2 linked regions of the Cricetulus griseus genome follow. The protein of the gene in region 1 binds, or shares a complex with, the protein of each later gene. Links are inferred from orthologs where the notes say so. Each region holds a gene or a part of one and is shown on either strand. Other genes may lie near its edges.

What was found. The genes of interacting proteins can lie anywhere in the genome.
Region 2: the proteins of Nog (region 1) and Bmp7 are in contact, whole or in part, in a crystal structure (PDB 1M4U), measured with the Homo sapiens proteins. The link is inferred for Cricetulus griseus from reciprocal best matches to the Homo sapiens genes NOG and BMP7. Residues at the interface, in NP_005441.1 of Homo sapiens: His29, Tyr30, Leu31, His32, Ile33, Arg34, Pro35, Ala36; in NP_001710.1 of Homo sapiens: Phe365, Pro366, Leu367, Asn368, Ser369, Asn375, Ile378, Val379.

Annotation. Positions count from the first base shown.
Region 1 is NC_048600.1:102,462,500-102,466,858, reverse strand, and holds Nog (noggin), read left to right. Parts: upstream 1-1,408; coding exon 1,409-2,107; downstream 2,108-4,359. UniProt on the Homo sapiens protein: Inhibitor of bone morphogenetic proteins (BMP) signaling which is required for growth and patterning of the neural tube and somite. Essential for cartilage morphogenesis and joint formation.
Region 2 is NC_048599.1:6,375,454-6,379,437, reverse strand, and holds the start of Bmp7 (bone morphogenetic protein 7), read right to left. Parts: upstream 2,801-3,984; coding exon 2,386-2,800; intron 1-2,385. UniProt on the Homo sapiens protein: Growth factor of the TGF-beta superfamily that plays important role in various biological processes, including embryogenesis, hematopoiesis, neurogenesis and skeletal morphogenesis.

The sequences.
Region 1 (4,359 bases):
TGTGTGTGTGTGTGTGTGTGTGTGTGTGTGTGTGTGTGTGTGTGTGTGTGTGTGTGTGTGTGTGTGTCTGTGTGTGTGTGTGTGTGTGTGTGTGTGTGTGTGTGTGTGTGTGTGTGTGTGTGTGTGTGGGGGAAGGGGACTTAAAATAAGCCCAAGAGAGAGGAAAAACAGAGACACACTAGGGAAAACGTTCCATGCACATGGAGAAATTTCTTTTGCTGGGAATTGCACTGAGAAACGAACCCCCCTACATACACACACACATCTCCCTGCTGCTTCACTCCCGATGCAAAGCACTCAGTGAGAGTCCTCCAGTCCCACCTCGACAACCCCACACCCCTCAACTCCAGCCCTGCACCCTCCAGCCTGGCTCCAGCGCCGCCGAGAGCTTTCCCCGGGACTGGCCCTGGCGGGGCGCCTAGAGCCCCATTGCATTGCTCCAGGAGAAAGGAGGGGGGCGGTGCATTTTGCAGGAGGAGGAGAACCGGGGTGGGGGGGTGGAATTGTGCGGAGACCTGCCAAGCGCCACCGCCGCCGCCGCCACCGCCGCTGCCGCGCCGCCGCCGCCGCCGCCTGTGAGCTCCGGCGGGCAGCCCGACTGTCGGCTTCCCGGGGCATCTGGGTCCGGCGGGGCACAGCCCTGGGCGCTGCCGGAGCCGCCACCGCCTTCGCGGCCAGTGCAGTCGCTTTCCCCTCGAGCCCGTGCGGCTCCGGCTCCTCGCGGGTGGAGGAGTGGGGGGTGGGGTTGTTGTTTGGGGGGAAGAAGGGGGAGGGGGCAACGCGGAGAGAGTCAGTGGTTTCCATGGTGATGGAGCTGAAAGTGCAGGAAATTTAAAGGCTTGGACCCTGCGAGACAGACAAACCGGTGCCAACGTGCGCGGACGCCGCCGCGCCGCCGCCGCCGCCGCCGCTGGAGTCCGCCGGGCAGAGCCGGCTGCGCAGCCCGGAGCAGGCGGAGGGAAGTGGCCCAGGACCCGCTCGACCCGAGGCGCCGCAAAGAGAGGCAGGACGCCGAGCGGCCGGAGGAGAAGGAGGAGGAGGAGGAGGAAAGAGGCTCGTCCACGCGCCCTGCGCCGCCGGCCGCCCGAGAGAGCAGCGAGGAGCCGGCGCCCCCAGCGCCCCACGGTCGCGCTGGAGTAATCTCGGATGCCCGGCCGCCGCCGCCGCCTTCCCAAGTAGAGCGGCGGGGGGGAGTTGCGACCAACTCGTGCGCGTCTTCTGCGCCGCGGCGGGAGCCGGCGCTGCGCGATCCGCTCTCCTCGCAGCTCATGCTGCCCGCCCTGCGCCTGCCCAGCCTCGGGTGAGCCGCCTCCGGAGGGACCCGGGAGCGCCGCAGCGCCGCGGGCTCGGCGTGCTCTCCTCCGGGGACGCGGGACGAAGAGGCAGCCCCGGGGCGCGCGCGGGAGGCATGGAGCGCTGCCCCAGCCTGGGGGTCACCCTCTACGCCCTGGTGGTGGTCCTGGGACTGCGGGCAGCACCAGCCGGCGGCCAGCACTATCTGCACATCCGCCCGGCGCCCAGCGACAACCTGCCCCTGGTGGACCTCATCGAACACCCGGACCCTATCTTTGACCCTAAGGAGAAGGATCTGAACGAGACGCTGCTGCGCTCGCTGCTCGGGGGCCACTACGACCCGGGCTTCATGGCCACTTCGCCCCCCGAGGACCGACCCGGAGGGGGCGGGGGACCGGCTGGGGGTGCCGAGGACCTGGCGGAGCTGGACCAGCTGCTGCGGCAGAGGCCGTCGGGGGCCATGCCGAGCGAGATCAAAGGGCTGGAGTTCTCTGAGGGCTTGGCCCAAGGCAAGAAGCAGCGCCTGAGCAAGAAGCTGAGGAGGAAGTTACAGATGTGGCTGTGGTCACAGACCTTCTGCCCGGTGCTGTACGCGTGGAATGACCTGGGCAGCCGCTTTTGGCCGCGCTACGTGAAGGTGGGCAGTTGCTTCAGCAAGCGCTCGTGCTCTGTGCCTGAGGGCATGGTGTGTAAGCCGTCCAAGTCTGTGCACCTCACTGTGCTGCGGTGGCGCTGTCAGCGGCGCGGGGGTCAGCGCTGCGGCTGGATTCCCATCCAGTACCCCATCATTTCCGAGTGTAAGTGTTCCTGCTAGAACTCGGGGGCCCCCTGCCCGCGCCCAGACACTTGATGGATCCCCATCAACGCCCCCACACCGCCTCCAACCAGTTCCACCACCCTCTAGCGAGGGTTTTCAATGAACTTTTTTTCTTCTTGGCTACAGAGACCCGGCTTTCTGGTTCATGTAATGCACTGTTTAACTGTGTAGGAATGTATATGTGTGTGTGTATATACGGTCCCAGTTTTAATTTACTTATTAAAAGGTCAGTATTATACGTCAAAAGTTACCGGCTTCTACTGTATTTAAAAAAAGCAAGCAAAAGAAAAAAAAAAGAACAGTGAAAAGAGAGACTTATTCTGGTTGTTGGTAATAATGTTAACCTGCTATTTATATCCCAGTGCCCTTCGCATGGCGAAGCAGGGGAGGGGGGAGTTATTTTTTCTTAAAAGTACAAAGAGAGGGGGAACTTTTGTAGAAGGACTTTTTAAAAAGCTATTTTCCATTCTTCGGAAAGTGTTTTGATTTTACTTAAACCTCGAAGAAGCTATAGAGTTCAATGTTATTTTACAGTTATTGTAAATATAGAGAACAAATGGAATGACTAATCATTGTAAATTAAGAGTATCTGCTATTTATTCTTTATAATATCCCGTGTAGTAAATAAGAAAGAAGTGCAGAACAGGATTAAAGAAAACCACTAAAACCGACTGGGCTCGACACTGTGATTCACTGTGTTGGTGATTGATGGGGGGCGGGGGGGGATGCCGCCGCGCTTACTATTCCTATTGGGAGACAAGCTCATCGTTCCGGACTCCCCTCCTGTGGGGTGATGAAGGTGACTGTAAAATTTTCAGGGGGGGGGGTGTTATTCTCAAACTCCATCTTTTAAGTATCCTGTGGCCTCCACGGAGTCTCCCTGGGTACCCTCCCCCGTGACACCAAAGCTCAGGCCTGTCGTGACCTCGACACCCAGCCGGCCCCCTGGAGCTGACCCCGGGCTGGGCCGATGAGGGAGGGAGGGAGGGGGGCGGCTGCTTTGTCCAGGCTGACAGGCCCTTCACAATGGGGACACGTGTCTTTCACACCTTCCCTGGGGGCGGAGTGCGGCTGAAACTTGACCCCCGAGGAATGGGGGGGATCAGAGCGCGCCCACCCAGATCCCGCCACCCCTCCCTCCTTGCACCCCCACCACAATATCCAGCCCCTGTTAACCCTTTGCATGCCCGGAAACTGCGGTGGTTAGTGCTAAAGCGACCCTTGAATTCAGCTACATACAACCTCAGGGATCCTGCAGGTCTGGAGCCCCTACAACCCAGGCCCACAGCTGACGTGGGAGAGATAATTTGGATATTTGACACTCACCTGGGCCTTTTCCAGGACCTAAGGAAGACTGAGGTCCTGAATTTCAGAGGGGTGTGAATTTGGGTACAAATCACTATCTCTGGGACCTGCAGTCGGGGAGGGGAACACGACCCCTCCCTAGGCACTTAACTCCACTTTGGGGGTTGAGAAGAAAGGAGAAATCAGAATGGGATCTTTACGCTTTAGGATTAGAGACAAAGTTACCCCTTTGAGATTCGGGCAAATATCACTGCACCCCACCCCTTAAAATTCCAGCTTCTTGGGACTGACTCTAGACTCTCGCGTGCATCCCTCCGCCTCAATCCCCAGTGGCGCCCATCCACACAGCTCCACGTGGGCCGGCTTCCTGACACCGCTCCCCGCTCCTTTTTATTTATCTTGGACTCCACAGTCGCTCTCCTTTGCTCCCTTCCCCACCCCCTTGCCACCTCGTCGCGCCTCCCTCCGGGCTCGGATCCTCCGCCCCCCCCCGCCCCCCAGCCCAGAGTAGCAGCGAATCTATGCTAATTATTTCAAACCTGCGCCTGGGTCCCCAGCTCAGTCTCAAAGCCCGGGGCCCCGCCCTCCCAGTCCCTCCAGCCCGGCGCTTTCTTCCCTCCCGACGCAGCCTCGGTGGCTCCTCATTTCAATAGCCTGGCTCGGGAGCCGGAGCCCCCTCCCCGGCGCTGCCTCCGTCAGTCGTGGGACAGACGTTAGGGTATTCATTAACTGGGAGCCGAGGAATAACGGCATTATTCCCCCCAGAGAGGGCACCCTGCCCCCGCGACTATCTGAGGCTTCATTGTAAAAGGATTAAAAGTTAAAGACCTCCATCTTATGATTCTTTCATTTAATCTTTCTGGCGCCTGGGAGACATGCTCGATGGATGATGGCTTTTAAAATATTCCTAATGTCGGCTACCTTAAGACTCCAAGCCGGGCAAA
Region 2 (3,984 bases), on another chromosome or scaffold:
GCTGGGGAAGCCAGTCTGCACCAACACCAAGGGCTGCAACGGTGACAAGGGATGACTTGATGGGAACCAGGGATATTTTCTCCCTGGGGCGGGGGGGGGGGGTAAGAGTCAACTTGGCTCTCTAATGCTTTGTCTATTTCTGACCCACGTGACTGGCAGTCCGACTAAGCTTTCTCAGCAAACTCAGAGTGGGGACAAGTTTGCAGTCACACCACCCCTCTCCAACCCATCCGCCACCCCCAAGTCGCTCCCAGGGAGAAATCACACCAGCAGAGGCAGGAGGTTCATACCTGTCCTGTGGCCCAACAGAGATTAAAGATGCACCTACAGGAAGCTCTTAGCTGCAGTCTGGGGCTTCCCCTAATTACCTATAGGTTAGGGACAGAAAGAGAAAGAAAACAGGACCCAGGTCCGTGGGTTCTGTTAAAAGCCACTCTGCTGTCTAATTGTAAGTGATGGTCCAGAAAGCCAGGCCTGCGAGAGTCAGGAGGGTCCCACAAAAGCCCGAAGCCAGCCCCACTGACTAAGAGGCTCAGACAAGTCAGTCTTTGTCCTTTCAACATGAAAGAATGGACTGGAAGGTGTGTGTGCAGCCGGAGGAAGCTACCCAGCTGTGGCCTCCCCAGCAAGCCTCAGCTTGTATCCAAGGCCAGGGGGGGAGAGACCGCCCCCGCCAAGTTCCCAGCAGGGCCCAGGGAGCCGCCCTGGGAGCCACCTGGCCTTCTGGGATGCACGAGGCCAGCTGGGGCCACACTGATTGACCTGAAGCAGACATTGCCACCAGAGTCAGGGATTATATATCGCTGCTTGATGAGCCCAGCAAGGCTCTGAATCACCAGTTAGGACCTTTCCTGGACATCACAGGAGGAGAGAACAGAGGCTGCCCCCACCCTCACGCCTGCGAAAGGACCCTATTAACCCTGGCTTTGGGATGGCTTCACACATCCGAGCTTACCACATAATGCTAAGCATGCTGTTTGGAGTCTTCTTTAGTGTTTGGTAATAAATCTACATGCTTAAAAAAAAAAAAAAACTGACACAGTGAAACACAGCCTAGCACCCTAAGCCCTGACCCCAGAAAAATCTCTGCAGTTCTTGGGTCACGGGCTTTTTCCTACCTTCATATCTTGGAGACAGTTCCAAAGCAGGGCCTCTTCTTAGCAAGTGTCTAAGGGGGAATTTAAACTTGTTTAATATTGTTTTGGCATCTCTATCACCCACCATGACCCCTGTTTAATTGTTTGATTTTTTTTTTTTTTGACCAATAATAGAGGCAGTCAATGGCCTCCCAGGGATTCCAGGGCCTTTATCTGGAGCTGGAAGGATTAACGTGAGACCCCTTCCGCGCCCCAGGTGCCCAGCGGGGGAGGGGTGGCCTTCAAGCTTCATTATTTCCAAGTTGACACAGCGGCCGTGGTGTTTGGTGTCTTCGGGTTTTCTAAGCAACTTCCACAAGCAGAATAAAAGCGGTTCAGGAAGCAGCACTATCAGGGTGAGTTATCACCCAAACCAAATATTTGATGATCAGCCCCACAGCGCACCGCCGGGGGTTAGTTTGAGCAAGTTAGACTCATGTGAGCGCACAGATGCAGGGGGAGCTGTCCCGGACCAGCCGCAACCCAGCCTCGCAGCACTTGGTTGGCTGGGACTCCTGTAGGGAAGAGGGCTCCCTAGCCACTCGGTGGCGGCCTCTGCTCCGAGGTCCCCAGCTACCCAATCGCCAAACCCCGTGGTTTGCGCGCCACACGTGATAAACGCTGAAAATGGATTCTGCCCGCCCGGGACCTATCATTAAATATTTAAAATAGAAAGCTCGCAATGGCAACGTTCTTTCCTCGGCCCCAGACAAGAGCCCAAAGGTAGGGGCCCGGCGACTGAGAGAGGAGCCCCAAGGCACTCCGGGCGCGCGCCGAGACAGGCGCACCGCAAGGGGACAGGTAGGGCTGGCTAAAGCGGGGAAGGGGAAGGGATGCTCGCGATGCCAGAGCCAGACTGGCCACAGAGGAGCGAAAGAAGGGCGGGAAGGCAGCTTGGCCGACAAGGGCCCTTTAAATCCAGGTAGCGCGGGCCGCTGTGGCCGGTTCAGCTCACATGACCCAGCGGGGCGCTTTGAACTGAGCCGCGGCCGGGCCCGCACCGCCCTCCCCAACCAGCGGCGGAGCCGGCAAAGAGACTCAGAACCGATCCTTCCCTCCGGGTAGCTCCCACGAACCGGCTGAGCCGGCAAGTCCCACCGGGGACGCACAGACCCCGGTCCGGGAGTCTCTGGCGGGCACTGATACTTTGCAAATGGGAAGGTGGACCCGCTGGCTGGAAGCAGAGACCCTCTCTCTCCCTGTCCCAAATTGCTCCCTTCTGAGGCATACCCCTCCCACCGCCACTCACCGAGGTTGACGAAGCTCATGACCATGTCGGCGTCGGTGAGGAAGTGGCTGTCCTGCAGGCTGGCTAAAGGGGGACCCTGGGTACTGAAGACGGCCTTGTAGGGGTAGGAGAAGCCCTGGCCGTCGGGCCCACTCTCCTCCACCGCCATGGCGTTGTACAGGTCCAACATGAACATGGGCGCCGAGTTATGCTTCCCCTGGAGGTGCGGGCGCGGGCGATGGGGCAAGCCCAAGATGGACAGGATCTCCCGCTGCATTTCCCGCCGCTCCTGGCTGCGGAGGCGCCGGTGGATGAAGCTCGAGTGCACCTCGTTGTCCAGGCTGAAGTCGGCTAGGGCGGAGCGCAGTAAGAACAGAGGCGCCCAGAGAGCCACGAAGCTGTGTGGCGCCGCAGCGCGCAGCGAGCGCACGTGCATCGCGCCGGCTCTACGCGCGATCCGGGGCACCGGTGCCCGCGCTGCCCCAGGTGGCAGCAGAGGGGGCAGGGCAGCGGTCCACGACGCGAGGTCACTTGCTGCAGACGAGCTTCGCCGAGGCCTTGCCACACATGGCCACTCCCCGGCCGGCTGCGCTCTGCCCGGGATCCCCCTGTCCTCCGCTCAGCCCTGGCGCGGGGCCCCTCGGCCCGCACTCGCCGGGACGCACCGCAGTGTTAGCACAGCAGCTCGGGAGAGCTAGCGAAAGAGCGAGGAGGCGGGCCGGGGTGGGAGGAGCAGCAGCCTGCAGACCTTCGAGTCCGGGGAGCTTGTGCCGGGGAGGCGGCTGGGAGCCGGGCGAGCCCTCGCTCCCTCCTCTCGCTCGGGTAGCGCCCAGGCCTGCGGGCACCGGCGACAGACCCTCTCCCGACTTCCCGCGCCCAGAATAGGGGTCCCGGATCGCTACTCCAGCCCTGCGCGCCACGGATCGCCCTCCAGCCGCCTCGGGAGCCCCGGAGTGGTGCGCGTTGGGGCCCGGGAGGAGGGGGAGGAGGAGCGGGAGGACCGACCTCCCCGCCCCTCCCGCTCCCGCGGCCTCCCACCTGCGCCCGGCCCCGCCCTCCCCACGCCTGGCCCAATGGCTTCATTCATTCCTCCCTGGGCGCTCTACAAATATTTACCGAGTGCCCACCATGTGTCCTGTACCTGGACGGACGCCGCAGGGGTGCAGAGAGAGGAATCCGAGGCGGCCCTGCCCTCTCGGGACTCGCACTTGGAAGTGGCCAAAGTGAGACTTGGGAACCTTTGGGCTGTGGCGGAAAGTACCAGGGAGGGAGCGCGGGAATCCGAGAAGGCTCCTCGGAGGTGGTCACCCTTGGACCTGGCTCTTCTCTCGTCCTTCTGGAATACTTCATTTGCTCCAGTCATGCAGAGCCCCCTCTTCACACCCACTCGGCTGCCAGCTCTGCTGCCCTGGCCATTCCTCCTCAGGGGACGTTCTTTCCCTGCCCCTCCCCCCTCAGGTGCCACTTCCTCTGTGAACCTTCCAGGACGACGGGCAGAGATAATGTAGAGATAAGGTTATTTCCCTACTACGGACATTAATTTTATTTTCTACACGTCACTCCCCGAAACACATACACAAACACTCACATACACACACACAGAGTCTATGGTCTTACACA